Linked DNA regions of Caenorhabditis elegans. The protein of the gene in region 1 purifies or fractionates together with the protein of each later gene. This does not show direct contact. Each region holds a gene or a part of one and is shown in the gene's direction. Other genes may lie near its edges. The genes, in order: eif-2A, clec-137, dnpp-1 and idhg-1.

What was found.
Region 2: the proteins of eif-2A (region 1) and clec-137 fractionate together in Caenorhabditis elegans (co-fractionation; one large-scale study listed by BioGRID). This does not show direct contact.
Region 3: the proteins of eif-2A (region 1) and dnpp-1 fractionate together in Caenorhabditis elegans (co-fractionation; one large-scale study listed by BioGRID). This does not show direct contact.
Region 4: the proteins of eif-2A (region 1) and idhg-1 fractionate together in Caenorhabditis elegans (co-fractionation; one large-scale study listed by BioGRID). This does not show direct contact.

The regions. Positions count from the first base shown.
Region 1 is NC_003280.10:10,413,644-10,422,001, forward strand, and holds eif-2A (Eukaryotic translation initiation factor 2A), read left to right. Parts: upstream 1-3,162; 5' UTR 3,163-3,193; coding exon 3,194-3,218; intron 3,219-3,274; coding exon 3,275-3,347; intron 3,348-3,399; coding exon 3,400-3,477; intron 3,478-3,531; coding exon 3,532-3,664; intron 3,665-3,717; coding exon 3,718-3,898; intron 3,899-3,970; coding exon 3,971-4,251; intron 4,252-4,304; coding exon 4,305-5,147; intron 5,148-5,195; coding exon 5,196-5,294; 3' UTR 5,295-5,586; downstream 5,587-8,358. Other genes in the region: frpr-21 (G-protein coupled receptors family 1 profile domain-containing protein), read right to left, coding at 5,587-5,729, 5,781-5,956, 6,657-6,782, 6,863-6,996, 7,057-7,251, 7,298-7,403, 7,449-7,582, 7,698-7,835 and 1 more. UniProt on the Caenorhabditis elegans protein: Functions in the early steps of protein synthesis of a small number of specific mRNAs. Acts by directing the binding of methionyl-tRNAi to 40S ribosomal subunits.
Region 2 is NC_003280.10:4,615,200-4,622,104, reverse strand, and holds clec-137 (C-type LECtin), read left to right. Parts: upstream 1-4,014; coding exon 4,015-4,182; intron 4,183-4,234; coding exon 4,235-4,346; intron 4,347-4,401; coding exon 4,402-4,660; intron 4,661-4,711; coding exon 4,712-4,886; 3' UTR 4,887-4,953; downstream 4,954-6,905. Other genes in the region: clec-139 (C-type lectin domain-containing protein), read left to right, coding at 364-519, 640-751, 1,421-1,539, 1,585-1,691, 1,736-1,816, 1,868-1,943; clec-138 (C-type LECtin), read left to right, coding at 2,305-2,439, 2,488-2,599, 2,689-2,944, 3,003-3,177; clec-136 (C-type lectin domain-containing protein), read left to right, coding at 5,572-5,700, 5,755-5,866, 5,924-6,182, 6,239-6,428.
Region 3 is NC_003281.10:5,860,080-5,868,010, reverse strand, and holds dnpp-1 (Aspartyl aminopeptidase), read left to right. Parts: upstream 1-4,207; 5' UTR 4,208-4,302; coding exon 4,303-4,413; intron 4,414-4,464; coding exon 4,465-4,558; intron 4,559-4,605; coding exon 4,606-5,023; intron 5,024-5,072; coding exon 5,073-5,879; intron 5,880-5,926; coding exon 5,927-6,020; 3' UTR 6,021-6,169; downstream 6,170-7,931. Other genes in the region: eng-1 (mannosyl-glycoprotein endo-beta-N-acetylglucosaminidase), read left to right, coding at 1-109, 197-515, 558-815, 1,005-1,208, 1,255-1,471; rabn-5 (FYVE-type domain-containing protein), read right to left, coding at 1,705-1,855, 2,209-2,942, 2,992-3,198, 3,253-3,354, 3,404-3,454; dpf-4 (Peptidase S9 prolyl oligopeptidase catalytic domain-containing protein), read right to left, coding at 6,200-6,656, 6,711-7,327, 7,465-7,931. UniProt on the Caenorhabditis elegans protein: Aminopeptidase with specificity towards an acidic amino acid at the N-terminus. Plays a role in membrane trafficking and is specifically involved in the recycling and degradation of endocytic cargo.
Region 4 is NC_003281.10:4,566,286-4,574,841, forward strand, and holds idhg-1 (Isocitrate dehydrogenase [NAD] subunit, mitochondrial), read left to right. Parts: upstream 1-2,727; 5' UTR 2,728-2,738; coding exon 2,739-2,864; intron 2,865-2,906; coding exon 2,907-3,119; intron 3,120-3,168; coding exon 3,169-3,297; intron 3,298-3,348; coding exon 3,349-3,453; intron 3,454-3,498; coding exon 3,499-3,711; intron 3,712-3,787; coding exon 3,788-3,931; intron 3,932-3,976; coding exon 3,977-4,165; intron 4,166-4,778; coding exon 4,779-4,850; 3' UTR 4,851-5,580; downstream 5,581-8,556. Other genes in the region: mlcd-1 (Malonyl-CoA decarboxylase, mitochondrial), read right to left, coding at 125-215, 263-368, 416-628, 678-833, 880-1,055, 1,101-1,327, 1,376-1,498, 1,547-1,681 and 1 more; Serine/threonine-protein kinase sel-5, read right to left, coding at 5,831-5,922, 6,472-6,970, 7,269-7,574, 7,624-7,737, 8,203-8,361, 8,417-8,520.

The DNA.
Region 1 (8,358 bases):
AAATATTTTCTCAAAATACGAAAACGAAACTCAAAAACCGACTCAAAAAAGCGGGGCCATGAATTTTCATTTTGGATCACAAAAACAAACTGTTTCAATTATTAATATTCAAACATTGTAAAGCTCTAAACACTAAACAATTCGTTAAGTCTCTTAAAAAGTTCAAATTTTCGAAAATTTGCTAATTTTCCCAAATCTTGTCTGAAATTCTCTAAAAATTTAAAACAATTTAGACATTTTTTTGCCAATTTAGATTTTATTTTGGCATTTTCCAATCTAGTTTTTGACGGTTTGAAATATTTATGAGGGAAAAATAGTTTTTTTGTAATTATTTTTTGGTAACAATTGCTTTTGCCATTGAAATCTAGCAAACAAAGTGTTCTCGGAAGTTCCGAGATGTTGATCAGACTTCTACCAAACTGTGGCTGACTCATGTGAAAAAACTAAAATTTCCTGCAAACCTACGCAAATGCCAACTATAACAATAGCCATTGTTTTTTGTGATTCTCATTGGCAGAGGTGCACAACATCCGGTAACAGTTTTTCTGCAATATCCGCTTTTATTCAAAATGATGATAACTAAACTTGAGCACAAAGTTCAAAATGTTTCATTGAATAGATCAGAACATTTGAGTTGGCGTAAATAAAAATTGTGAAACTGCCAAAAAATGAAGACTGAAATTTGGCATTTGGGTGATAGAAAAGTTGATTTTCTTCAAATTCCGTCTAAAGTTTCTAGAATTGCCGTATTATTAATATGGGACAGGTAGTGAACCGGTATGTGCACGGAATCACTCATTAAAAATTCATTATATATTTAGACATTGAAACCGGATAAACCGGACTGATAGTAATTTTGAAAATTGCTGATTGATATATGAAAAAATAACTCGTCATATCTATCGTCTTTCGGATCATCCTGTTTGCTCGTCCCTAGAAATTTGTTCCGCTGTTTTAAATTAATGAATCAGATCTGAACGTATATTTGAGTAATTCACTTTTCCAAAAATAGCGCAAGAAATATGTTCCAATGGTCTATTACACCCACTTTGCCCCAAAGTCTGATCTTATATAATCTGACAACAGACTTCAGAAAGTCTGGTCTTGTGAAAGGATAAGAGCATAAAAGCTTCAAAACATGTAAAAGTTTTCAGAGAATAAAAACATTATTCCAAGGATCATGAAGGATGACTAGCGTCAAAGAGGACTTTGCATTGAAATGAAAATCGTCTGAATATCTGAAATTCTTGCAAAAAATTCTTGCAAAACAATGTTTCCACATAGTGTCAGGCTGCCCCATTTCGGTTTGACCTACAAAAAATGCGGGAATTTTTGCCCAGAAAAATGTGGCTATTTGGTTTTTCGAGAGGGTTTAAATTACATATATTAATGCAACCAAAAATCACAACGTACCAATCACAAAATCTATTAATATAAACCTAATATTTCCGGATTGGCCGCCAACTATAATTCGTTCATTTCATGTACTTGGACGCTTCCTGATGTATCTGAATAGGAAATGATCAACTTTTAAGACATCCTCGTGATGATGAGACACTCAGATGAGAGACTGTACTCTTACGATAATCCACGTGTTGTTATCATAGATTAAACACCTGGGATGAGCAAGTAACGAATTTTTTGAACAGTTTTTCGAGGTTTTGAGACTTGAAAAATACGGAAGTTTCGGAAGAAGTAGGTAAGCCGGTACTGACTTAGTATAAGATTAGAAAAGGATCATGGTCTTATACTTTTAGAAAGACTTGGTAAAGAGTAAACTGAAAATGAGTAGGTGAGCAGTAAGAATTCAATTCTGCCGTTGGCGAGGGAACGCTTACAAAGAAGCACATATATTTTCAGAAAAAGCAGAATTACCGTAAATCGGATGCTTCTCAATATGGCACATCTACTATTTCGTTGCAAATATAACAATCTATCGTGTCTCGAAATACCACGAAAATCCAAATTTTAATTAATTTTCCGTAGTTTTTCTTGCGATTTGTAACAATTAATTTGTTTGAAATTAGTTTTTTATAAATTTCTATGAAAATTTTTTAACGAGAAACTATGAAAAATCGATGAAAAATCCGCAGCAACAAAAATTTTAAATTACAGTACTCTTTAAAGGCGCAGATCCGTTTGTATTTTACCAAGAGAGCGCGTGGCAAGACCGGGGACCGTATTTTCTAACGCTCGATAATGTTATATTCGAGTTTTTTTGAATTAAAAGGGGTCTACTTTCCGATTATGACCTCAAAAGAGTACTATAATTACAAACTTTCGTTACTCTAGAATTCTCCTCGATTTTTTATAGTTTTTCGTTGTAAATACATTTAATTATTTACAAAAAAACTTTTTTATAATTCAAAAACACATAAATGTTAAAAAATCGATGAAAATTCCACAGCAAAATTTGTTTTTGAAATTACAGTACTCTTTAAAGACGCACACCCTTTTGCATTAAAAAAATTGTCGCTTCGAGACCGGGTACCGTGTTTTTTTTGGCGAAAAAAGCCAAATTCAGTGCCTGGGTAATATTGTTTTTTTCATCCTTGAAAATAACTTCTCGAAATAAATTTTCAAGAGACCAATTTCAATTCCGCCTACGCGTTGTCTCTATTCAATTTCTTATTTTCATTCAGCGTAGCAATGAAATTCGAAATATTTGGAGAAAAGACAGTGGCTTCCATAAATACTCAGATTTTTGTCGATCGAAATACGACGAAATTCCGGAAATATTTATATATTGTGTAGCTTTAGTTTAAATTTAAATTTAACTCTGCAATTTAATATTATGCAATTAATCGATTAAACAAAGTCTTTGCAAGTTTGTAAACTATTTCTGCCTACTGTACTTTGTGTGCAAACACCGTGACGCAAACGATGCACTAAAACTGCATCGAATTAAAAAATCGAATTATTTTTTATTTTTCGAGGAATATTTCTTTTTTTTTTAACTGTTTCTCCCAATATTCAATTTTATTTAATCTTTTCCCGCTAGAATAATTTATTCTGGATACGGTGCGCGAAATTCTGCATTTCCAAATGTATGCCGGCGCCAAATACGACGCCATCTCGTGATTCGAATTTTTTCGTCATTTCCTCGAGCTTTTCTAATTTTCTCCTACTTCCTGAGAAATTTAAGACATTTTCTTTTTTCAGACTTTCTCAAACATTGATTCAGATCAATAAAATGGGTGATAACCTGGTGTACGCCGGTGAGTTTACTTTAGACAGCTTTGAATAGGCCGTAAAATTGCGAAATTTGTTTCAGTTCGATCAAGTGAAGGCTTCTACCTGAAGCGCGGGCTGGGCAAAGACGCGGTGACAGTTTTTGAGCAGAATAAGTACGTAATTCAGAACAATTATCAGGAATCAATAATTAAATGTATTTTTTAGAACCTCGAGAGACGTCGCTTGCAATGTGTTCGCTTACAGCAACAACGGACAGCTGTTCGCCTATTGCGATAATCAAGTGTAAGAAGAAGTTTCAGGAGAGGAATATATAGTTAAATAATGTTTTTTTTTTAGAACACGGGTATTCGAGATCGCAACAAACAAGGAGATTCTTTGTGTGGAGCTGAAAAGAACTCGGAAGATCTTGTTCTCACCAAAAGACAATTTCCTGCTCACATTCGAGCCATGGGCAGTTTACGGACCAAAGGTTTGAATAATTTTTTATTTAATTCAGTTTGAAAACCTTTTTTTCAACTTTAGACTGCAGAGAACCAAAAGCCAGAACCAAATGTGCGAGTCTACAGTCTTGCGGATGGAAAGCACGTATCAACGTTCTCAGCTCCAAAAGAAGCATCGTGGGAGCCTCAGTTTTCGGATGATGAGTCGTTGGCTGCAAGAATGGTTGGCAGTGAAGTCTTCTTTTATACAAACATGTCTTTCGGTATGAATTTCATGAATTTTCTGAAAATTGATATTATTATTACGACCGTTATCATAAAACTTATCTTTTCAGACCGTTACGACCACAAGCTTGTCGAGAAGGGTGCGACCAACTTCGCATTGAGTCCAGGTCCTGCTCCGAATCACGTGGCTGTCTATGTCCCTGCCGTTGGATCCACTCCAGCTCGCGTGCGAGTTCATCGAGTCTCCGAATCGTTCCCAGTCGTCGGCAATCGTACGTTCTTCAAATCTGACAAAGCCGTAATGACATGGAATCAGCGTGGTCAATCACTTCTCATTCTTGCTTCTGTTGAAGTGGATAAGACAAATCAATCTTATTATGGAGAGCAAAGTGTTCGTTTTAAAATTTTCTCAAATCTCCCCAATAATTATTTAATTAATTTCAGCTATACCTTATCAACATTCAATCAGGAGAGTCTGTAGTTGTTCCTTTGGAGAAGAAAGGTCCAATTTACGCTGCAAAGTGGAATCCCAACGGCCGAGAATTCGCTGTTTGCTATGGTTATATGCCAGCCAAAGTGACATTCTATAATCCGAGAGGAGTTCCAATTTTCGACACGATTGAAGGTCCACGAAACGATGTTTTCTATAATGCATTTGGAAATATTGTTCTGATTTGTGGATTTGGAAATATCGCGAAGGGAAAAATGGAGTTTTGGGATGTGGAGACGAAAAAGGAGATTATTTCGATCGAGGTGCCAAATACAACTCTTTTCGATTGGGCTCCAGATGGTCAACATTTTGTTACATGCACCACTGCTCCAAGGCTTCGTATAGATAACAGTTACCGCTTCTGGCATTACACGGGTCGAATGCTTGCTGAAACTCACTTCGAGTCTCCAAAAGAGCTGTGGGAAGTTCGCTGGCGTCCAATGACTGGATACAACAAGTTTGCCATCAAAGAGCTAACCAAGACGGACAAAATGGCCGCTGGCTTGCCAATTCGAAAGAAGGATGCATCTCATCCACTGAATAATGTTCCAGCAGGAGCAGTTCGTCAGGCTGGTGCCTACATTCCACCTCATCTCAGGAAACCGCTAGGAGGTGGAGGATCAGCTGGACCACCATCAGCTGCAGCACCTACGCCAGGAAACCAGAATCAACGGCCTGCACAGCCACGTGCTAATGGAAACGGAAATGCTCCACAACCATTCCGACCACAGCAATCGGAACAAGAAAGGAAAGCATTCCAACTCAAAAAGAAGGTTGAGGAGATTAAAGTTCTCAAGGTGAGTTGTGCGAAGTTTCAAAAATATTTTCAAACAAATAATTTCCAGCAACGAGTGGCGAATGGCGATCAACTTCAACCAAACCAAATGGAGAAGATCCAACGTGAAAACGAATATCTCTCAGAGCTCTCCAAACTGACCATTTAAAATTGTGTTCTTTTTTTCTGTGTTTTTCCCTCGATTATCATTTTTTTGTTTCTCTTTTCTCCCGATTGACTCACCTGTTTCCTATGAGTTTTAGACTTTATACATTCGAGTGAAACCTGAAATTTTTCCCCAGTTGTTTTGAATATCTATTTATCAATTGTCTTCCATATTCTTTTAGCCTATCTTTTTCTCTCCCCAATCTCTTATTATGATTGTTTATTTCTTTAATTATTATTGTCATAATATGAACTCCCGTAATAAGAGTAACAAAAAAGTGATGAAATGAAGGAAGTTACGAGCTGTTCGTCTCGATGCTCTTCTCTCGTTTGATGTAGTCGGTGATCTCCTGTCGCAACTTTGGATTACACTTGGCGTAGATGAAAATACGAATTGCCGAGGATGCCATATAGCAGATGGAGACAGTATCAGACAAAACTGAAATGGAAAAGTATTTTATTATTATAATAGAAGTTTTTAAAAACTAACCGATATAAAATGTGCTCGACTGCATTCGATCCGTGGATTCGTAAAGATAAGATGGATCGAACCTCTCAAGGATCGTCAGAAAAAGATGAACGCCATTACAAACCAAATATGAAGTGACAATAGCCAACATCGTGTAAATTGCATTTCGAAGCTGTGATCGCTTACTTCGGGATGATCTGGAACAAAAATAATTAATTTTGGAAAAGAAATGAGCTCCAGTGAGCTCAAATGTGCTTCTAGAAGAAGTTGACATGTTTTAACATCGAATATGTAGAAGTTCAAAGCGCCAGCTCTTGGTTTCACATAAATATTATTATAGGACCGCAGAAAAAAACTGATCGACATATTAGCGCGCTCCACGGTCAATGGAGAACGCCCCGCCCCCAAGCTATGGGTCTCGTTAGGTATTTGGCCGGAAAATCGTTAATTCAAACGTTTTCAATCATTTTTTCGTATTTTTTGGTATGTTTTCCGTTGTTTTTAATAGTTTAGGTATGTTGAAATTTAAAAAAAAAATAAAATTCACAACTTAATGAAAGTTTTCATGCATCTTTAAAAAATCATTACATTTTTTTAATCATTAAAAATAACGGAACACATATTATTAAAAAGCCAAACCGGATACACTATTGGAAAACGTTCGAATTTACGGTTTTCCCCAAAATACCTAACGAGGCCCAATTTTTTTACGTCCCCATAATACTTATTATTAAATTTTCGAATTCTTTATCCATTTGGAACCATGGGGCGCGTTTTCTGACCATCTGCAAGCGATGAACGTATAATATGATAAAATTACACAGTAGTGAATAGAAGAAGTTAGAAGTGGATTTGCTACGATATATTCCGGAATTTATTACGCATTCCGTGACTCACTCCCTGAGTGCCAGTACGAAAGTGTTAAAAATTGATGGCCGATGACGTGGAAGTTCAACGTCTACTGAATCAGTGATATCATCCACATTCTGGTTTTCCACGATTTCAGACGATACCGCCGCAGAACTGTACTTTATTGATGGGGATTCAATTTTTAAAGAGTATTTTGGGACAATTCTTTAATAGAACGTTTATGACAACCCCACCTGTGGATCAATGATTCCTTGATGACGTCAGCGGCAACTTGCAGAAGCACATAGTTTTCTGGAAGATTTCCCTGAACAAATGACGCTTTTTTCACTTCTGTTGTAGTTCCAGCACCTCGGAGAATAGGGTACATCTGAAAAAAAATGGTTCAGTATATTTCCATTTTAATAAGACAGTTAAAACAATAACGTACATTTTCCCTTTTCTCAGCTACCAATCTCTTGATAATTGTTAGATTCAGTAGCAATAGTACCACAAACGGAAACATCATCTGAATTGCAGTGATAACATGGAAATCGTATATTTCGTATGCTTCTGTGGCGGCGAAAGGTGTTCCGTCTAATGATTCACTTCTGAAATAGTCGTCACACAGAGGAAACGTTTTGACCTGGAAAATTCAATTTATTGATTAACTTTTCAAAGTATAATCTCACCTTCATCGCATAAAGCACAGGAATCCGAATTGCCACCGAGAAGAAACACACAAATATCACAGTAACAATTCGTCCACGTTCGTTGAAAATCGCAGAGAAGGCTTTTCTGAAACTCAAACTTAAAGTTAAGACTTGAAAAGTTATCCCAAACCTTTTTCGTTCTGTGCATGTCCAGAGATATCGTTCGAAAGTAATTAAAATTAGAATAAATGGAATGGCGAATTGAACAACTTTTGCAATAAAGAATACGGGAACAATGTAACGGTGATAGAGGAAGAATAATGTCTGTAAGAAAATTGATTATTGAACTAGTGTGTTTATTATTCTGGAACATTAGGGGTAAGGCGCAAGTATCGAGGCTAACCCCTACTCATAATCGGTTTGAACTTCAAAAACTTACCGTATTTTTTCGATACCAAATTCCAGCATCTACACCAAATAATAATGTGTACGTCAGACATATCAGCATGTCACACGTGGCAAGTGTGGCTAGAAATATGGAAGAAGGTAAGGATCGACGGAAGACTGCCATCAGTAACTGAAAATTGATCGGGTACTTTAAAAAAAAACCAAACAAATGTTTTTGAGCATTTTCACTTAAAAATACTGGAAAATTGACTTAAATATGTTTTTCTGAGTATAGTATTTTATTATCTGATAAATGAAAAAGTAAATAAAAATTATATTGGAACCGAACTCGGCCTGGAATACAGTAAAGGGAGTTTTTATTGGTATTATTTTTGCTCAAAGTTTCCAAAAGTTCGAGTTTTTTTAGAAATTTATAACAATGCGGGATTGGTTGAACCCCATACATTGCTACAAACATTTAAACAGTAATTAGAATATACAATCGTAGAATTGAGAAAAATGACTTTGAACAGTATTACCATTTACGCTACTGCACCTTTAAAAACTCTTTCCGTTAAAGATACCTACCATATTAGCTAAAACGCCAAAAAGTGCAACCGTAGTACATCCGGATATAATAACAAATCTTTGAGTACTGTATCCTTCATATAATCCACAAATTTCTTCTTCCTCTTCTTCCATTAAATCTAACA
Region 2 (6,905 bases), 5.8 Mb from region 1:
TGTACAATACATTCCATTTTTAAAGGTTAACGTTTCTAATAATCGTTTTCCAAAAACTAGATAACTTTTGTCTTCAAAAAACAAATTTTGACTAGTTTTTCAGTAGGTAATTTAAGAAAAAACTGTAACAATCAAGGTTTATTCCCGTCCAAATTCAAAAGTTCAACGATTATCATGCAACATGGCCTTGTCCAAAAACTATGGTTTTTTTTATAATTTGTACTCAATGTATGTGTCATCAAGAGACAGTGTCTACTTTCCTTCCTTCAGATGGCCCGTCTCAAGATGATGTGAAGACTAAAAGTCAACCTCCCCTATATAGATCAAATTGTCTTCACTCGACATCTTTATTTCTCGACGACGATGAGAAGTGTTTTTCTGATTCTTATTGTTGCCTTATGCGGCGTTGTTGAAGCATCTAATGCAACAGAGAAAGAAGTTGTATGTCCGAAAGGATTCAAGTTGTATGAGAGGAAGCCGACGCAGAGGAATAAGTTCACGAAGAACTGGTGTATGAAGGTGGATTAAAGGAAATAATTTTTCAAAAGTTTAGTGGTTTATCGCGATCCCAAATTTCTGCCCGCTACTGAATTTAGAAATGAGACAAACTTAATTTTCAAATTAATTTTAATTTTTCAGGTAATAGAAAACGAGGATGTCTATGATCGACCTATCGCAAGATCAGTTTGCCTAGATTATGACGCAGTTATTACGAATGTCGAGAACCAAGAGGAGCTGGATGATATCAATGGTAAGTAGCTGCTCAATAAATAAGAGTATTGTTAATTAGAAAAATTATATGTAAAGTCCAACGGAACAATTTCCAGTTGACTAATATTTGCCTACAAGGTGACAGGCGCCTGCCTTTTGCATGCCCACTTACCTACTTTTCAATTGGCAGTTTAAATCTAATAGAAGGGTTTCGGTTGTGACGAAAATTTTTTTGTAGACATGCTGTTTTTCTACGTGGAATTTTTTCTAAATTTTACTGAAACTAAATACTTCAAATGACAAAAAAAGAAGACAGTAAGTAGGCCTGTAGGCAGACAAGTAGAATAGGGCCTACCCGCCCTTCTCGTCTCTTATTAAAAATACGATCGGCGTGATGCCATTTTACAAATTCTCGCAAGCTGAACAAACACCTGGAGGCAGCGATTAGCATTCGTACTATTTTGGAAAGCGAATTTTCTGGTTTTTTGAAAAATTTGGAAAATGTGAAAAAATAGAGCCGGCGGCTAAAACTTTTCTGAAAGTTATGTATTTACTAACATGCTTAAAGCCAATCACTGTTATCATTTATCAAACAAATTATGTAAATGCAACGTCATTGTTATTGAATGTAAATGCTAAAAGGCACAACAAAGCCGACAGAAACTGACAAACAACTTTTAGGCAAGTTAAAACTGAACACAAATTTCAGCTTTAATTCGAAAAAACAATAAACGAGTCGCAGTGGACGGAGTGTTCAATCCAAAATGCCGAGGTTTCAGCGACTGGCGAATGAGAAAGTTTGGAGGACTTTGCGCAAAAGAAAAAGAGGTTTTTGTTTCGAAAAGTGTGTTTCAAGTATCCCGATCGTTTTAGCTATTTATTCTGGAGGACGATCACACCGATCCAGCGTTCATTCTCACAAAGTGGTCTGGAGAACCGCCAACTTCATCAGACAAGTATCAGGAGAAGGGGGACTCTACGTAAGGAACCCAGTGGGATAAAAGCTTCATGTTCTAGTTTTCAGAGAAATTTTCACAATCGCTGAATGTCTATCTCTACATAATCTCCAGGCAATCAAGAATACTGGAAATTTGAAGGATTTTTTGTGAGTTTTTTTTTTGCAGGATTTTCAAACCCAAAACTAAAAAAATTTCAGGTGCGGCGAAGAACCAGACAAACAAGTCGGCGAGGTGCCATTCTTCGGAGTTCTGTGTGGATGTGCTCCAGTATAAAATTATTTAACTAGTGCCAAATGTATAAACAATTTTTGAATTTTTTGAAGATTTTTCAGAGAAATCTGTCCTCGAGGCACAATATAAATTGTTCTTACAATGTATGCCTAGTTTGAAAATGTATATCATGACTCGATTTTTTTTGTGTTATAAAAAATTTTCCCTCTAGAAAAAGTTGAAAAATAGGTAGAAAAATAAAATGCGTCATTTCCGCCCAGCCCCCGAGATACCGTATCATTTTGATGTATTCGGGGAATAATGGTTCCGCAGAAACGGAATCATTGAAGGGATGTACAGCTTTTTTATAGCTTTTGACTAGTACAAAAGCATACTGAAAGCTTCTTCTTGAACTCTTCATAACATGTTAGTTTTATTCTTACTATTCTTGGTTGTTCCGGCGGTTTCTGCAAAGGATCCAAGATGCCCAAAAAACTTTACTTTTGTCAAAAGAACACTAACTTTTAAGAATAATTTTACAAAGGGGTGGTGCTTGGGGGTACGTTATTGATAGAGACAGTACCCAGTTTTAAAATACACTTTCAAGATTTTCAATGGAACGGATGTGGGAAATCGTGACCGAGCCCGCTCAGTCTGTCTCTATCATAACGCTTCGCTGAGCAATCCAGAAAATTCACATGAACTTGAGATTGTTTCTGGTAAGTTGATCATGTTTTTTTTTAAAGACATGTCTTCAATTCAAAATCGCTAGGAAAAATATGCTTCTAAATGTGTAATTAATTTTTAGACGTTATTCGCGCACGGAACATTTCCCTCCCGATTGCACTCGACGGACAACTCTCTCCAAGATGCAAGGCCCTTATTTTCAGAGGCGAACAGAGCCAACAATATTTTGACCAAAGAACAGAGGAAGGAGATTGCAATATTAACAATCATTTGTTTGTATATGATGATATCAATACAGATACTTTATTTATCCGTTCCAAACTAGGTACTTCGGCTGGAACTAATGGAGGATACTCCAGTCAGGAGGACGGAGTAAAGTAAGTGTATGAAAATTTCTAGATTCAACGTCAAACAAGTCTAGAATTCAATTTACAGATTTCGTTTCACCAGAGATTGTAACGCATTAACAGATGCATACTATTACTTTTCTAATGGAACACATTTCTATGCGGTAGATGGACGAACTGAATTGCTCGGATGCTTTGGGGAAAAGGATAAGCAAAATAAACACGAATATAGTAGTGTTCTTTGTGGAAGATTCCCTCTCTGAGTTAATTGATCAGAAAAGACAGTTGTTAATAAATATTTTGGAGTTGTTGTTCGAATTCATCACTTGTGATTATATCAGAAAATACCAATTTTGCAACAAACATCAGTCGAGGATATGCATAATTTTCATAATAAGTATTTTTTGATAGCTAAAGATTGGAGCTAATCATATTTCAAAATTTACAGAGACAGGACTATTTTAAAAGTAAACTACCCTGTAACAAATCAAGAGTTTCGAAGCTTGAAATCAAAAAAAAACTTATTCTTGTAAATCATTTTATATTCTACCTCGGAAGCCGACAAAAGCTTGGTTTTAAAAAATCTAGCTTCAAAGTCTTGTTTTCAACCACAAATGTTTGTGTACATAAATTTTTGGATAGGTATCATAACAAGCAAGAGGGCCTTATGTTAGTCATAGGCTTGCACTCAGTTGCTCAATTTTGACGGCTAATAACTAGGTTGTGTTTTGTTTTACCAAAAATTATAAGCTGACAAAGAATGTGTTACAAATTTCTCTACAGTTTTGGTGTTAAATGTTTTTGATAAAAGGGCTGAAAATGAGGGTACTTTTGTTAGAATCTTTATTAGATCAGATATTTTTTTGTTTCAAAGCGCATGGTTTCAATATTCTTGACAACTTCTATCAACCTACGTGTTATATAAGAATTTCTTTGAATGAAATCATCCAACCTGATGAAGAAATATAATGCGTCGTTTCCGCTATCCAGCCCCGAGATACAGTATCATTTTGATGTATTCGGGGAATAATGGCTCCGCAGAATCGGAAACGCTACAGGGGGCGAACAACTGTTTTATAGCTTTTGACTAGTACAAAAGCATGCTGAAAGCCTTCTATGAAGTTCAGTATAAAATGTTAGTTCTATTCCTACTATTTTTGGCAGTCCCAGAATTTTCTGCGAAGGATCCAAGATGCCCGGGAAACTTTACGTATTTCAAGAGAACACCGACGGCAAAAAATAACTTTACAAAGGGATGGTGCTTGGGGGTAAGTTGTTCATATCAATGACACCTAAATAGTTTTAAAATGATATTTCAAGATTTTCAATGAAACGGATCTGGGAAATCGCGACCGAGCCCGTTCAGTATGTATCTATTACAATGCGTCGTTGAGTATTCCAGAAAATTCACACGAACTCGAAGTGATTTCTAGTAAGTTTTTGAGGATTTTTTTATTGCTGCATGCGGAAAAATGTAAAATTTCCAGAGACTGCTAGCTTGAGAAACATTTCCGTACCAATCGCTCTTGATGGACAACTCTCTCCAAGATGCAAATTCGCAATTTACAAAGGACAAGTAAAGGGTGCAAAACGATTTAATCAAACTTCTGAAGAAGGAATTTGCAATATTAAATATGAATTGTTCATATATGATGATATTAATACGGATACTTCATTCATTCGCACAAAGCTAGGTGTTTCGGCAGGATCAAACGTAAGAAGTGTACAAGCTGATGATGATATCGAGTAAGTTTTGAAAATCGACTTTCCTATTTGCATCCAACATTTCATTTTCAGGTATCGCAGTACAGCAGATTGTACCGTTTTGGAAAAAGGATCGTATCACTATTCTAATGGAACACTAAAAGATGGGCACACTAATTTGATGGATTGTATGGGACAGCTAGCTGGCTCCAAGAGGCTACCAGAAAAAAATGTCACCGCCGTTCTTTGTGGCCGATTGCCGTTCTAAGTAAATGTATTCTATCATTTCTGGAAAGATTAATTTTCAATATTTAATAAATATTATATTTCCGAAATCTTTCTGATATTTCTTATTACCTTAGCTGATTGAAAAGATAAGGTACACCCAATTTGTTTCCGCAAGTGAACTTCAGGTTATTCTTAGGCGACGAAAATCCCTGTGCGGGTTTACAATTAAATCATTTTCGCAACGAAACATTTCCTTTTACAGAGTTTTGACAAGTGTGTATACCATTTTTGTAAACTAAAAGTCAATTAATTCATCTTAACTTTCGTCTCGAACTTTTCGTTTTTAAGTTCCATCTTGTTGATAATACGGCCTAAAAATTGTAAAAAATTTCTCAAAGCTTCCTATTTTCTGTGTCAAGAAAAATCGGAGAGCTCTACATTATCTCTTTTTTGGCTTCCGGAAAACTTTTAGAGTAAATTTATAATGTATAATTTATGATAAACCTCAAGAAAATAGGTACAACAAGCATCTGCTACGTCCAAATCAAAATGTTTAGAAGAATAAATACTACGGTAGAGCATTTTGTGGGTGTTGTTGAACATCACGCTTTTGTTGAAACGATCAAATGCTGTCGGAAAATAATGGCTCCGCATGGCTTAGTCACAATTTTATCGATTTCAATAGGTACAAAACCCCGCCGAAACTTTTCAAAACTGACAGAAAAATGTTCGTTTTCTTTTTGCTATTTTTGACTGCGGTTTTCGCAAAGGATCCACAATGCCCAGAAGGGTTTTCTCATGTCAAGAGAGTCCCAACTGCAAGGAACAATCATACAAAGGACTGGTGTTTGGGCGTAAGTTCCAAGTTTTGGGTTTTGTGTTCATAATGCTTTATGACCATATTTCAGGTTTTCCAATTCAAGAACATGGGAAACCGAGACCGAGCTCGATCATTTTGCAGTTATGTGAACGCTTCATTGACCATTCCAGAAAATGAGCACGAGATTCAAGTGTTTTCTGGTAGGGATATTTTTCAATAAAAACATTTTCAGTGTTGTAATCTTCAAAAACTTTCAGAAATCGCCCGAGCTCATGGAATTGAAGCTCCTTATGCTGTTGACGGTCAAATTTCTCCAAAATGCAACGGTCGTATTAATAAAGTCGAAATCATACTTCGTCATCGATTCAACAGTACAGAAGAAAAAGGAGATTGTAATATCAAGAATAATCTATTTTTGTTCGATGATGTCAATAGTGACACTACATTCATGCTGAGCCATTACAAACGTCGACTTCCAGCTGCTTATATGGTTCATCAAGCTGACAATGGTCCAATGTAAATTAGACATAATTATCAAATAGCGTGAAATCATAAAAAATCAAATATTACAGATTCCGATTCGCCGCTGATTGCATTGTTCTAAAATCTGGAATTGTCAAGGCTAATGGCACAGAAACAAGAAAGAATTGGGGAAGTTTGGAGTTTTGTGTGGGAAAAAATGCAGTGCAGGCTTATACAGACGATGAAAAACCATATGGAAACGACGTGGAAGCAGTTTTGTGTGGAAGACATCCACTTTAATTGTTTTGAGAAACTTATAAGAAATGTGGGTCCTAGAAATGTGATGCACCTTGTCTTTAGTTTTGATTGAAAATTGTCAGCTGAAAAAATAAATTTCAATTTTTTCTATAGTTTTGTAACTTAGTATTAAAAAAATAACATTGAAATTCCCTACAAAACAGTGAAAACTGTAAAAAACAAAAGCGAATAAAAAAAATCTCGAGTCTCGTTTCCCCCATTATACATAAGTACATCAATCCCTATCCTTTCCAACATAGAAAAAAAACACGACACGGTCTATATGATGCGAATATTCGGTAATACGCGATTTAGAGATGATGGAGGAAATAGATGGGACTGGATTTTTTGTCAATTTTTTTTTACAGTGATGATGATTAACTTTTTATGGTTGGGAGGTTTTTCACTGTATTATACATATATATGAATGGTTAAGCAGGAAATGGGGGTTAAAGTAAGTGTGAAAGGAGAAGCCTAGTG
Region 3 (7,931 bases), on another chromosome or scaffold:
TACCCGTACATGTTCTTGAATTGGTGGCAAATCGACATTTTCAACTACTTTTCACATCATTTTGTGACGATTCCACCGGAAGATTATACACGAATTGCTCATAAACATGGTATAAAATATTAAATCTAAAAATCGAAATAACACAAAACATGCCCGTCCATTTCTTGGTTTTTAAGTCAAAGTATCCCAATTTCAGGTGTTCTTTCACTTGGAACATTCATCACGGAATGGATTCCAGGATACGATATTTGTTCGAAAATCTTGGAAAATGAGGGTTCGGTAGAAAAAACAGTGGACTGTCTGGTGGCTGTTGCGAGATTTTTTGGATTTGATGGATGGTTGATTAATATTGAAAATAAAATTGATGCAGGAAAAATCGATTTGTTGATTCAATTTTGTTCGAGTTTAACTGAAAAGTCAAAGAAAATGAATGAAAATTCGAAAGTGATATGGTATGATTCGGTACTTGATAATGGAAAGTTGCATTGGCAAAATGAATTGAATGAGATGAATCGGTTAGAATATTAGAACTGTACTGAAATATTAATATTTTTAAGAAAATTCTACGATGCTTGTGACGCCATCTATCTCAACTACAACTGGAAAGATAAAGAACTTCTTCGATCGGCTGAATTTGGAGTTCTTGATCGGATCTTTGTTGGAATTGATGTATGGGCTCGTGGTTGTGTTGGAGAATTTCATTGTGATCAGTCATTTGCATTGGCAAAACTTTTTCACATGTCAGTTGCTCTTTTTGCACCCGGATGGATTTATGAAAAGTTTCCTGAGGAAAATCAAATTTGCAAAGGAATTCAGTAAGGTTTTTTGAAAATAAAATTGAAAAATCAGAAAAAAAAGACTACAGTACCCCGATAAAAATATAAATTTATAAAAAACATAATTTTTGAAATTTAATTTATTTCCAACTAGAAAATTCTACATTAGGATTTTTTTCAGAAAAATTCCACAATTTAAGTTTTATTGAAATTTTAATTTAATTCCAGCTTCTGGTCCAAACTTCTTCCACACATCCGAACTCGTCCTCTAACTTCTATAAACTTTGGCACCAACTTCTGTACTGGAATGGATCAAAATTGGCACTACCGCCTGAGCACAGTGCAGCTTCAGCCTCAAATTTTAAGCTCCTTCTGCCACCAAGTAATTGACTCTACAGGACTCACTCTTTTTGGCAGAAATCGAAAATTTCTGTAAGTTATGAACATACAAAAATTTACTCATTATAATTTTTTCCAGACTATTCACTTTCGATTCTGTCAACTACAGTACCCTGACCATAACTTGCACTACTTCCAATTCAATTGACCTGCTTCTGAATAGATCTGAAATTATGGACAAAACCGGAGATTCCACGTGGCATATTGACAAGCCAGGAAATTTGGAATCCATCAGCATCTTGACATCAAGCAACGACGAAACTGTGATCGAAAACTTTTCCATTGATTCTAATTAAATAATTCTAATTTCATAAAAGTCAATAAAACAAATTTTAATGCACAATTTTAGATCAATTTCTGGTATATATGTACGTATATAGAATAGATTAAGCATTGTACAAGAATTAAAAGACTAGACATTCTAGCACACGGATGATGCACATATAAAATCGGGAAAAGGTGGCGAAAGTGAAATTGGAAGGGCGAGTTGTGGATAATCAGCGACAGAATAAGCATTCCAGATGAATTATTACTTATCCTGCGTTGCAAAGAATGGTTTTGTATCCCGATTGAGCAGTGTGTGACATACTTTGCACACATTGGCTGGTCGATGATTTGGTCCACTTGGAACGGTGTCTTTCAGGCAGTTCATGCAGAATATCCGACCACAATGAAGACAGCTAAAAGATTTGAAAAATAAAAGTGACTGAAATATTCCATGAAAAAGTAAAATAGTGCTATCTCTTATTTTTCGCACTTTTTTAAAAATTTTTCCTTATAAAAATCTGCTATTTCTGGAAAACTATGCGTGATTTTTTATTTTTCGAAGCCTTTTTTTAAAAATATTTTAGGTCGTTTTAAGAAAGGGTACCGAACGCTTGATTCATAATCACTATATATTTTTTTTCTTTTTAAAATCTTCTGTTTGACATATTTTAATTGGAAAAGTGTAAAATTTATTTTTGAAAATGAAGAAAATAATTTTCTTGTAATTTTTTATCAGAAATTCAAACTTCCATTTTCAAAAACTTACTGAGGTTTAACTTTAACTCTAGCAAACGATGTATCACAATTTGAGCATTGATCTACATCATCATCCCATTGCCATCGTACTTCTTGTTCCGACTGTCGAATCTTCTCCAATTGAATTTGGAGGCTTTGAGATAATTTCACAAAATCTCTCTGCACAACTTCAGATGTGTCGAGTTCTTGTTGAAGACTTGTGCACCGTTGCTTGTAGTTCTGTGCCGTCTGTTCAACAGCGGCTCTCTCATTTTGAACCTGCTGAACCTGCGTCTCAAGTTCACCGACAGTTGTTTGAAGATCTCTAATTTGTCTGATATTCGAATCTTGATCTGCAATTGTTTCCGATGCAACAACCATTCGAGTGTTGATCTTTCCTAATTCCGACTGCAATCTGCTGATCTCTGCAGTAAATGTCACTTCCTGATCTTCTCTGTGCGCTCTTTCTTCTAGAATCTGAGCTCGCAGGACGGTGATCTCATCCTGCAGCTGCTGCTCGGTGTGCTCTTTTGCAGCTCGAGTTTCTATCAATTCTTCCCTATTCTTGAGACAAATAAATTGTAATTGATCAAGATCAGCTGGCATATCGATTTTCTCGGACCGAAGTTCTTGTGCTGATTTTCGTGTGGACCCGAGAAGCTTTTTGTACTTTTTTCCTAATGTAACAAAGTCATCGTCGGCTTGTTGCAGTTTGTCACGAGCCAAATTCAATTGATCAGTGAATACTTCTATCGATTTGTCGTGCTGAAATTAAGCTTTTTTAAAAGTTATTCTTTTTATTTATTTAAAATACCTTCGCACTGAGCTCGTCCAGCCGCTGCTCCGACTTGGCATTTGCCTTTGCCGCCTCGTTAACCTGATTCAAACAATTAGTCGATAATTCGTTCATTTTCTTTTCCAATTCTTTTCGATAGTCTCGTTCATTGCTCAAATCCAATTGATATCTTTCGTTCAACTCCATTGCCGCCTTCACTTCTTCCTTTAACTTTCGTTCGTTTTCCTGCAAAACAAACAAAAATCATTTGCATATTTGCCGTGTTCCCATGATTCTCACCTGTAATGCAGTCAAATTCACTTCATAATTCTGGCACATTTCGCATTGAAGCGTTGGATTCGGTGAGACTTGCGAAATCTTTTTGGACGGTATTGGCGGCTCCTGAAATTTAAGGGTCTTTGAATTATCGATTAAAATGCAACACTCTTACCTCTGCATTCACTCCGGCAGACACTTCTTCGCTAGCCGACGGTTCTGTCATTTTTCTAGAAAATTCTTGATTTATTCGAAAAATATATGAGTCATTTGATTAATTAAATAAAAAAGGTCTCATCACAATGTTGGCAAGGACTAGGTTGAAAACCTAGGCCATTTGGTGACACATTTAAAGAGCATTAAACATAATAATCGAGCAGTTTTAGTATTAATTTCATTAAACGACTTCCAAGAGAAAAGTAAATGTTTTCTGGAGTGAAATAAACATATTTCATTCTGTTGAGTTATGAAAATGTTATTATATGTTTAATTTATTTTTTATTCATAAAAATTTAAAAATTTGTAGTAAAAATCATTCTATTTATAAACAATATATCGCTCTGAAAAATCAAGATGAACAAAATTTTATATATAAAATTTATAATTATATTCAAAGTTCAGAACATTTCCAGCTATTGTAGTTTTCTTTCCAGGACCCAAAAAATGATTTAAGCGTTGCGCCTTGAATACAGTACTACTCTACGTTAAAAATTGTTCTTTTCTTCTTTTCGATTTCTAAAATTTTCCGACGTTTTTTTCCTGTCAATTTTTTTTTCACTAACTTTCCTCAAATAATTCCTGATCTTTTCGCTTTTCTCATGTCTTCTCCATTATCTTTTCCTTCATTTTTGATTCTTTCTATTAGAAACCTTGATAACTATCACTGATAACGCATTTTTGATAATCAGCACCACATATTCTTCTCTCGAACTTTCGCCCAGTAGAAACTAACCGTTTATCGCTTATAGAAAATCATTCCAGATTCAAATTTTATGCAACATTTTGTCTTATCTTTTTTCATTTTCACTCCGATGGTAGTAAAATATTGGGCTCAATTCATTTTGAGTTTGAATCATGACAAAGAAGTCGTTTCGAAAAAATCGTATTTCCGAAAAATTGAAAGTAGTGTGCGGCTGCTATCCAAAACATGAAATTGAGCCCAATACCAGCTATCAACCCAAAAAGGTTTTCACTATTCTTTCTTTGTCTTTTCATAAATAAGTTTATTTAATTTAGATGGCCGCTGCTCTGAAACCAAGTGCTCCGGAGATCCGCAAAGCTGCACAAGAGTTCATCAACTATCTGAATAAAGCAGTTACTCCATTTCATGGTAATATTTATTATTTATTTTTATATTCAAAAGTATATCAATTGCAGCCACCCAAGAAGTGAAGGATCGCCTTCTACAAGCCGGTTTCACAGAGCTTCCAGAATCGGGTCACTGGGACATTCAGCCAACCAGCAAATACTTTGTCACCAAGAACCGCTCTGCAATTCTTGCATTCGCTGTTGGAGGATCTTACAAGCCAGGGAGTGGATTCTCGATTGTTGTGGGACACACTGACAGTCCATGCCTCCGTGTCAAACCAATTTCCCACCAAAAGTCTGATAAATTCCTTCAAGTTGGTGTATCAACTTACGGAGGTGGAATCTGGAGAACCTGGTTTGACCGTGACTTGTCGGTGGCTGGATTGGTTATTGTCAAGAATGGAGAGAAACTTCAACACAAGCTGATCGACGTGAAAAAGCCAGTTCTTTTCATTCCAAATTTGGCGATTCATTTGGAGACCGACAGGTATTTGAAATTTGTCACTATCGTCCTAATTTTGCAATTTATTTCTCAGAACAACATTCAAACCAAACACGGAAACTGAGCTCCGCCCGATTCTGGAAACCTTCGCTGCTGCTGGAATCAATGCACCACAGAAACCCGAGTCTACTGGTTTTGCCGATCCACGAAACATTACCAACAATCATCATCCCCAATTCCTCGGATTAATCGCGAAGGAAGCTGGATGTCAGCCAGAAGACATCGTTGATTTGGATCTCTACCTTTACGATACAAACAAGGCTGCGATTGTTGGAATGGAGGATGAATTCATTTCTGGAGCTCGTCTTGATAACCAAGTTGGAACATACACTGCGATAAGTGGACTTCTCGAGTCTCTAACTGGAGAGTCATTCAAGAATGACCCACAAATTCGTATTGCCGCATGCTTCGATAACGAGGAAGTAGGATCGGATTCCGCGATGGGAGCATCTTCTTCTTTCACGGAGTTCGTTCTCCGCCGTCTTTCTGCTGGAGGCTCAACAACCGCTTTCGAAGAAGCAATCGGAAAGAGCATGCTCATCTCTGCAGATCAAGCTCATGCCACGCATCCAAACTATTCGGCAAAACACGAAGAGAACCATCGTCCAGCATTCCATGGTGGAGTCGTCGTCAAAGTAAACGTCAATCAACGATATGCAACAACTTCAACCACACACGCTGCTCTCAAGCAAGTTGCATTCGAAGCTCAAGTTCCTCTTCAAGTTGTCGTCGTTCGCAATGATTCTCCTTGTGGATCGACGGTTGGACCGATTCTTGCCACAAAACTTGGCTTGCAGACTGTCGATGTAGGATGCCCACAGTTGGCTATGCACTCGATTCGGTAGGGATTTAACTTTTAAATCACATCATTTATTTTCTTGATTTCAGCGAGTTTGCCGACACTTCGAGCATCTACCAGGCCACCACTCTCTACTCTACATTCTACGAACGTCTGTCAACTGTCCTCTCCAACATGCAATAGGCAAATCAATGTTGATCCTTCCCAATCATAATTTCTACTATTTAATCGCGTCGTGATATCCAATCTTCAGTTTCTCTGTGAATATTAATTTCTATAATTTATTTGGTTTTCAAATAAATAAAGCAATGCATTTTTTAAAAGCTGAAATTTTATAGATAACAATTTAAACAAAAACAAATCTAATGCTTCGGATTAACAATTTCGATCTTCGAACTAATTGATGGTTCAATTCCAACGGCCTTCATCAAAAAGTAGAAAGTGGCTTCGGTGCTTTCCTTGATCACTTGTCCATTCCTAAATCCATGTCCTTCTCCATCGAAAAGCATCAGAGCAGTTGTAACTCCACTAGCACGGATCTTCTCATACATTGTGATAGATTGGCTCATCGGTACTACCGTATCCTCCCTTCCATGCAAGAATGCAATAGGAGTTCTAATTTTATCAATATGATAAATGGGACTTCTTTCTTCGTAAATGCTCGCTTGCTCAGGATATTTTCCGATAAGCATCTCATTGTAACATCTTTCCAGTTTATGAGTATCTTCATCTAAAGCCAATAGATCAGCAACTCCATACACAGAAACTGCTGCTTTTATGATATTTTTCGGTGAGATAAGACAGCTCAGAATCAGATACCTGAATAAAAATATTTATAAAACTTTAACAATGACTATAATATTAAATTCCTACCCTCCAGATGAACTTCCAGTGATCAGAACTTTTTCGGCATCCACTTTTCCTTGCTCAACAAGTGCTTTTGCTCCATTCAACATATCATCTCTATCAGCTACTCCACAATTTTTATAAAGCATTCTCCGGAATTCAGTTCCAAATCCAGTTGATCCTCGATAATTTACATCAAAAACAGCAATACCTCTCGACGTGAAGAACTGTTTTTTAAGATCCAAATTATTCTGAGCTGGAGCCGTCGGGCCACCATGTCCGAGAAGTAAAACTGGAGGAAGTGTTCCAGCTGGAGCAGAATATGAACAGTTTTTCGGTGGATAAAAATAACCAGAAACATCAACTCCATCCGATTTGAACACAAATTCTTCTGGTTCCGAAATCTCGAGAGCGTCGATTTCCGAAGAATCTCGGGATTCGCGATGAACTTTTAATGGGAAATTTTTGTTCGCGAGATCGATGGAAATAACGCTTGAAGCTCGTTTTGGTCCAGAAGCAATTGCGAAAAGATCAGAACCATTCTGGTCGAGTGAAAGATATCCAAATACAGTATAGCCTGGAGTTGGAATCTCTACAGTAACATCTCCCGATCGGACATACAAAATTCCGTCTGCGTTCATTACCTGAAATATTTAAATTTCATTAGGTCAATTTAAAAATTCGAATTTTTGTGTTTAGTTCAACTAATTATATTGAAAATTGTAAACTTAGGTTTAAAATATTTGAAGAATGTTTTGAATTTCCAATCTAAAATTCTCACCAAATATTTTTTATTCAGAACATAATTTCTGAAACCAAGCTGCCAAAGCGGGTAGCTGATCTCTCGTTGAATTGGATTCAGGTTCTTCTCGACGGAATTTGGCTCTGCAGCTGATTTATACACATTCCACCAGTTTGTGCTATCATTCACAGTTAAAAGCTCATCACCATCCCAAGTTGGTTCGGAATAGTTGATTTGTTTTCCAGTTCCGTCCTTCAGCGTCACCTCATTGCTGGATTCTCCACCTTTGAGATCAGCCATTCGGATGGATGTCTCGTCCCATGGCATATTTGGAAGGCTCCATTGCATCCAGACAAGCTTTTTTCCATCCGGGGAGACTCTTGGATAGGCGTAAAAGTCGGCTCCGTGAGCTATGACGTTTTGATTCTTGGTTGCTCGGTCGATGGAGATTAGTCGATTTTCGGGAAATTTTGCATCAGCTTGGTGGGTTTCATTAACACAAAATA
Region 4 (8,556 bases), on another chromosome or scaffold:
CGAAAATTTTATTCACAAGAAACTGGGCAAGCAATCACACGAATTTGTTACAAGTATAATATGACACATTAACTAGACTAAATTCTTGAAACTCGAATACATATGAGGAGCTGGGTGAAAAGATTCAGAAGATATCCAAAACTTTCTGATTAATCGCCATCTTTTTGTGTTCAGTGTAAGCTGCACTGTTCTCGTGAACCTTCTCCAAATCGTATCTGAAAATTAAATTTTTAGACTCAAAAAAGGTTCGACCGAGTCATACCTGTAGTTTACCATAATTCCAAAACTGTTATTGATCCCTCTATGACTCGTATCTCCATTCCAATTCAGTCTATACAACTCTGCGCCGTTTCTAATGTGGAAGTTTGCTTAAAATAATTTTTTTTTCAATGCTTATCGATAAAATCATGCTTACCAACTGAATTTAAAGCCATTCCATTTCGTTTTGCATTACAAAGATAATGAGCACACGCGTACATCAAAATGTGCTGGATTGCATTGAGCTGCTCCTTTTTCGTTTTTTCATTGCTTATGACTTTCAGTAGAGTTTCGGTTGCTTCTACTTCGTTCATTTCCCTTTCAGATATATCAGAAATCCAATTGACAACCTTTTCATTCATAATTGAAGCTGAAAAAACATTGAAAGTAACTCAATTGTCTAAAAATGTACAGCTTACGATATTCTGAATTCCCTTTCAGATTTCTGATAAGCCAAGGTCGGAAACCAGGAATCGGAGATAATGTTGAATGAGTTGTGACTGATGGAACATCTTTTTGAAGTTTAGTGGCGACTTTCTTGATGAGCATATTTCCGAGATCAATACCAGAAAGACCTGAAAACGAATAAAACATGTAATGAATACATTTCTTAAATTTTACCAGGCTGTGTAGAAGTGATTGAATAATAAATTGCAGTTGTTTGATCTTCTTCTTTTCCAGTCGGTGCTCCTCTTTTTGTGATTTCTTGTACACTATCCGCTATCTCATCAACTAATGCCACGTGAACCATCACAAGTGGGTTCCGGGGAAGAGCTTCGTGGGAAAAATAGAAACATCTGAGAAAATGAAATTTTAGTTTTTTATTTTTATTTCATAATTACCGTCTCAACGGACCAAGACGTTTTCTGAAATCTGAAAGTCCTCTAACTGGATGAACTGCCTCATATTCGGCGACTTTCTGTAGAATATCTCCAGGAGATGACCACGTAAGTCGTTCCAATTTTAGATTTCCTAAAGAAAACCATGAAGTTAATACTTCTCTAGTGGCCAGTTCAATGTGACGGAGATATGATGTTGTAGTTTTGTCAGTTTCCCGTTTTAGAAGTGCCTGAAAATAATTATATATTCGATGCTAATTTTATTTTAATTTTAATACCAAAATATTAGCCCTCATTTCACAGACTTGCATAACTCCTCCCGGTAAATTTCCAATTGATTTTATCAAATTCACATAAGAAGCTGTTGCTGATGTTCTTACTTCCGGGTACATTTGATCATTCTGAACTTTACAATTTTTGGTCATACGATGTCAATGATAATAACCAACCTTAGAATATAGAGAAATCGCATGATTTAGGGCTTCTTTGTTTACACCATAGTTTGTGACGAGATCTACGAAAATCGATTTTCGAGTTTCTGGCGTGGAATTGGCATATAATTTGGAAAACTTCTCGCTATAAGTCTGAAAAATAAAATTTTTTCAAATAATTGGAAAATATAGTTCAACTTACGAGTAACTTATCTCCACTTGTTCGATTTGTGAGTCCGTCTAAAGTAGATAATAATGTGGAAGAATATCGAATCGAGTAAAAATGTGAATATCGACGAAGCATTATTTACATCAACCTACAAAATAATTATCTATGGGGGAAAATAACAGTTTCATAGCGCGAAACATTCTCGAAACAGTCCGGGAGCATGTAAATCAGCAAAACGAACAAATAAAAAGATAATCAAGTAACAGTTAACGTTTTAAATAGTAGTTAATAAAATAATAAAGACTTTGTAACTTCAGCCAAAACTATTTCTTGGATACCGATTTCTGTATAAGAAATAGACGCTATTTTTGGAAAAAGGCGTGCCAGGTTCTACATGAAACAACTATTTCAAAGAGTTTTCAATGAAACAAACTTTAAAGAACAATCCTAAGACATTTATTTCTACACAAAAATCACTAATAGATCACCTGATAAGCGCTTGAGACAACCAACAAAACAAAACAACGAAGCAACAACAATTCGGCGGCGAAAATCAATCAAGCGCCAACTGCTGTTCGAATTCCCGGATTTCCCCGGCAGTTGGCTTGAATTGCAATCTAGACTAGAAGTAAACACAAACCAATGAACCCTCAAATAGAGAGAAAAAGCAAAAATATTTGAAATAGATAGAAATGAACGAAAATGGACAAAATAAACATAAAAGACGAAAATGAAAATGTCGCGCGGCGGAATTGCGAGAAACACGTGCGGCGCTTGCAAATCAATCGGTCGGCTCGTTCCGCCCTCTTTTTTTGTGCATATAATTTCTGAAAATTATCTGTTTAGTGATAAATCTGAGTTTTCATAATGATAATGATGATATCGGGAAGATTTAATGTTTTTTGTTAAAGTTTTGAAATATACTATACCCTTCTATTTAAAAAATTGGCTACTATTCTGACATGCACTTTTAAAAGTACATTTTTAAACTGTTGTTTTTCTAGTAAATTCCATTTTTTTAACATTTCAGGTAAAAACAAGATGTCGAGCAACGTCCTCGGTCATACACTTCGCTCTTCGAAGAATGTCGTGCAAAAGGCGTTCGTCGCGACTTCACCGAACTCCGATATGCTCCGATTCCGTTCTCCAGTTCTTCAAACTAACACAGTAAGTAATTCATTTTTATCTGCTATTAATATCAATTTTCAGACTAAGCTGGCTCGTTATGGAGGACGTCACAACGTCACAGTCTTGCCAGGAGATGGAATTGGACCAGAAATGCTCCATCATGTCGAGAGAATCCTTTCAGCAGTTCAAGCTCCAGTAGATTTCGAAGTGGTTAATTTGACCTCAAAGGAAGATGCATCTGAAGATCTTGCTGAGGCTATCACTGCTATCAAGAGAAATGGTGTTGCTTTGAAGGTATTTTTGTTGAAAGATTAAAATCAAATTTAATTTTTTTTTTTTGAAGGGAAACATTGAAACTAAGTTTGATAACCCAAGCTTCGTTTCCCGAAACTTGGAACTTCGTCGTCAACTCAATCTTTACGCAAACGTTCTTCACTGTTCCACTATTCCAACTGTTCCAAGCAGACACACTGTAAGAATTTTTTTAAATCGATTTGTACAAATTTCAAATGAAAAGCTTTAGGGAATCGATATGGTTATCATCCGTGAGAATACTGAAGGCGAGTACTCTGGAAATGAGCACGAAGCCGTTAATGCTCCACATCCTCGTGTTGTCGAATCTTTGAAGGTTGGGATTATCAACTGAGATTTAGTCCTAATTTCAAATTTAAAGGTTGTTACTCGCGAAAAATCGGAACAAATTACTCGTTTTGCATTCCAATTCGCAAAGAAATATGGAAGAAAGAAGGTTACTGCTGTTCACAAGGCCAACATTCAAAAGTTGGGAGACGGTCTTTTCCTTAAAGTAGCCACTGATATCGCCAAGGCCGAGTATCCAGATATTGAATTCAATGCTATGATTGTCGATAATGCTTCCATGCAGTTGGTGGGTTGTTTATTTATTCATCAAAATAAATGTTCTGAAAAAAGACGAATAATTAAAAATCCTTATTTATTTCCAGGTTTCACGCCCACAACAATTCGATGTTATGTTAATGCCAAATCTCTATGGAAACATCATTTCAAACATTGCTTGTGGACTCGTCGGAGGTCCAGGACTTGTTTCTGGAATGAACATTGGAGAAGATTACGCCGTCTTTGAAACAGTTAGCATATTGATGAAAATATTAAATAACATTTGTTTTTTTCAGGGAACCCGTAACACCGGAACCACTCTTGCTGGAAAAGATCTTGCCAATCCAACTGCGTTCATCCGTGCCGCCGTTGATATGCTTCGTTTCCTCGGACTTCAATCACACGCCGATATGATCTCCGATTCATTGTTCCGTACGCTTGTTGATAAGAGAATTCACACCGCTGATATTGGAGGAACTTCTAAGGTAAGAATTTCATTAATTTTCTAAAGTTGTATATATTAAATTCTTACCTTTTCTTTATTTAAAAGTAGAGTAGAGTCGTTTTGGAATTTTGCTCAAGATGATATCCATAAATGGACCGTAATTTAAAAATTTATACAATTTTTCTAATATTTTGCAAAATTAAAAAATAAGATAAGTGTTTCTGAATTTCCGCGCGAATAAGTAGAATAGTTTTTTTGCGTTTTTCGGCTGTACTGAGTGATTACTCTTAATTTTGTTTTTTTAGTATTTGGTATAAAACACACATACATTTTCCGCAAAGAAATTTATGAATTATCGAGTTTTAGGCTAATTTTTGAAATGTTTTCGAATTTATTTCGGTTTATGAAGTTTTCTTTGCGGAAAAAATATTTGAAAAATTGCCGGAAAAGGCAAAAATGTCGGAACTCACATTTTTTATTCTTGCAAAATTGGAAAAATCATAGAAAAAATGTTATAAATTTTTTTACAGTTATTATGGTCCATTTTCGATGATTTTAAGCAAAACTTCAAAACGACTTCACTTTTTAGAACATTAACTTTATAAGTACTTTTTAAAAATGCACTACAAAACTTTAATTTAATAAATTTTCAGTCATCGGAACTCGTTCAATCAGTACTCGACTTCATCGAGAAGGAGCTCGAGGACCGCAACTACCGTGTCTAATTTCTACCTGATAATCGAAAGTTTGAAACATCCCACATAGTGGCTAGCTTTACCCTTACGTTCTTTTCCTCTGTTTTTTTTTCGATTAATCCATGATTCGTAGCATAATGCGTTACTCATTGTGCTCTTTCTCTGTTTGACCCCGTTGACTGAACGTTTCCGCCTGATGTCTCTTATCTTGTTCCTTTCTTCCTCATCTCTGTACCCACAATTTTCTTTGGATTTTAATTTTTTCTGATTGTTTGAATTTTTCTCATTTCCAGTATAGTACAATATTATAAAATTGGTTTAGTGAAATTCGATACTCTGTTAATAATGTTAATATTAGGTTACTGTCACAAAGTTAAGTACTCCCCCCACCAATATGCTCTTAACCTAATTAGTCAATACTTGAGAGCTGCTTGAAAAAAGGCGGAGTTTACTACTGTAGCTACTGTATCTTTTTGAATGCTCCCTAGCTCACTTTAATATTATTCATTTTTTGCCACAACTATTCTATTCTTTATTTCACCAGACTATCTAGGAAATATTGAACTAATACAAATTTTAGTTCAATATACCGGATGGTCTGGTGAAAGCAACATGCGTTGTAAGTTCTTTTTCAAAATCAAATGTCGATCGAACATTTCAATTCGAAATAATTTATTTCGGGTCAGAAAAATTGTACTAAAACTTGCAGAAAAAAAGTTGAAAAAAGAATTAATAAATTACAGAAAATATGCATATGAAACTGGGAGATTGAGTCTATCACAACTACATGCGTGGGTGGATACCAAAATATGAAAATTACAAGGAAAGCATATTCCATATTATACATATCATAAGTACATTGGCGGGAAAATACCAAAAGAAAATAAATAATTGAGAAAATAAGTGATTCTAAATTTGACACAACGACAACTTTGGGGGGAGGGTGAATTGCAAATCACTAAAAAGAACAAATTGTGTAATATATAAAAAGAAATATGAAAAATTCCAGTTTACAAGTCGGTTGGATCATCATGATCTTCCGGTTGGAAGGATGTATTCACAAATGATGCATTTTTGCCAGTCAGTGACGATTTTTTATCTTCTGAAACAGTAAATTTTAATTTTAAATAAAACATTAGTTTTTCTATACGGAAGGGTCGTCGTAAATTATTCTGTTTAAAAAAACCAAAAATTTCAGTTTCTTTTTGAAACAAACTTTAAAATTTTGGTCAGTTTTATTTTTTTAGCGATCGGAAATTTTTTAAAAGAAAAGATCGAAACTTTATTACTTTATTTACAAACAAATATATTGAATTTCATTAGAAAAATATGAAAATTTCTTTTAAAAATTTGATTTTTTGAAACCTAGCCTCATATTTTGGCTATTTTCATATTATCGGATATTCCAGTTTTTCCGAAATTGTTTGTTAACCTTTTTTAAAAGATTAACTCTAAAAAAGTTTTGAAAAATATAAATTATTTTCAGAAAAGTAGGGACTAGATGTATCAAAAAAGGTTGAATTTCATTACAAAAATATTAAATTTTCTTTAAAATCAAAGAACTCAAAAATCTTAAACTCTTTTTTCGTATTTCATAACTTTCTTTTTCAGAATTTTTTGTTAAAAACCGACAAAAAATCTGAAAACTGACTGGATGATTTTTTAACAACTGGAGGCATTGGAGAAGAGAACTGCAAATCATTTGCAACAATTGATGGATGTGATGATCGTAATCCAAATGTGCTCTTTTTCTTTTTCTTATTCGAAAAAGTTGTTGCTCCATCATTCGTCCATATTTCAGCTTCAGATCCATCGGTTTCAGGTTCAGAGGATCCTTTTTCTCGATATTCTTCTAATTTTAATTTATCCTTCTTCCCATCTTTTTTCTCTTTTTTCTTCTCCTTTTTCAACAATTTCTCCTTTTTACCCAAAGCCACTGGAATCGTTGCAGTCGTCTCTTGTGTTGGAGAAGCTTCTGTTGGTTTCTTTGGAAGAGGTGGTGGTGGTGGATCCGTAGGTGCGCCAACAGAAATTAAAGTTCCAATAATTGGCTCACAAGGGACTGTATCAGAGTCTCGAACAGCTTCAGGAAACGATGTATTTGACATTGATGGAATTATTGAAACAGGAGCAGCTGTGGGTAGATCCGGCTGAAAAGGGCTATTATAAAATCTCAAAAATAACTTTAAAAATGAGTTTTTATAAGCTTTTCTACATTACATTTTTTGGCGAAAGTTAGTTTTTTTTCATCGAAAAATATTAAAATTCTACAGCAACGAAAGTTTGAAACTACAGTACTATTTAAAGGCTGACGCCTTTTTTCATTTGACTCAAGTCTGGCGCTTCGAGACCGAGTACCGTAAAATTTCGCGTTATTTTTGTTACATTTTTTTTTTGATTCAAAATAAGAAGAATTTTAAAATATTTTTACAATTTTTCTGTACGAACCTTAAATCGACAAACCAACGGAGTTGCTTGTCTTGGTAATGTGGCTGGTGCAAAGACGTTTTGATGTTCAGACGCAGGTCTTTCAAATACCGTATCTCTCCGATCCGTCCACCGATCTCCAAGATCCCAGTCATCATCCAAGTTATTTTTTGCTGTGGGCAACGGAGCAGTGATGATCATTTTCGGAGTAAGCTCATCTCGGAGAAATGGATTCGTGATAGGATTCTGTGTATGCGGAGTTGATGTTCCAATGAATAGTGGTGGGTAATTAGTAGATGAAGATGAGAATGATGAGATCAGTTCGTGCTGTAATTTTTAAAGATTACAATTTTTGAATGTAATCGAAAAAGCATACATCATCGTCATCCTCCAATCCATCATCTTCTAATAAAGGACGACTTCCACCTTCTCCATCTTCACTTCCAACTGTATTTTGAGAGTCCTCGTCGTGAGAAGTGTCACCGCCTCGCTGAAAAAATCATTGAAAAACTTTTTTTGAAGAAATTAAAGTTATTGTTTTATTTTTAAAAATGTTTTAAATTGTTTAAAAATTTGTTTTTGGTGACAGGCATTTACCAATGAATTAAAAAATATTTGGTACAATTTTTTTTAATTCGGAACTTTTCTTCGATAAGAAATGTTCCAAATAAATAAATATCGTTTTTTTTTCAGATTTTTTGGCAAAAAAGGGTTCTTGCTTGCTTGGTTTTCTGGACCAAAAAATTCGACAATTGAAGTTTAGAAGTGAAAATACGATTATTTATTTGTTTATTTGGGTTTTTGAATAAATTAAATTTTGATACCAGTATATTAAGTTTTTTGGAATATTCTAGAACTTTACTAAACTGTTTCCTTTTCTTTTTTCTTTAGAATCGCGATCATTAAAACAGTTTACAGCGAAATCTCAACTAGTCTAAACTAAAAAAAAACAAACCCGACTATCATCATCCTCTTCTTCCTCAGAATCATCTCGATCAGTTTTTCCTCGACTATCACTACTGGCATCATCTCCAACTCCATCAATATTCTCATATGAATATCTGCGTCTATCATTCATTCGTTGTTCATCAATTTCACTATCTTCCTCGTTTATCTGAAAATATTTATTTTTAAACCAAAGTCCAAGTCTTTAAGTGCTTCCTGCTTACAGTTTCATCTTTTTTCGTCTGAATCTCTTCTTTCTCATCAATTTCATATTTTTCTTCTTCATCTGTTTCACTGAGCAATTGCCTTTCATCGTCCTCGTCAGTAGCTGCGAAAATTAATATGAAATTTAAAAAAAAAAACC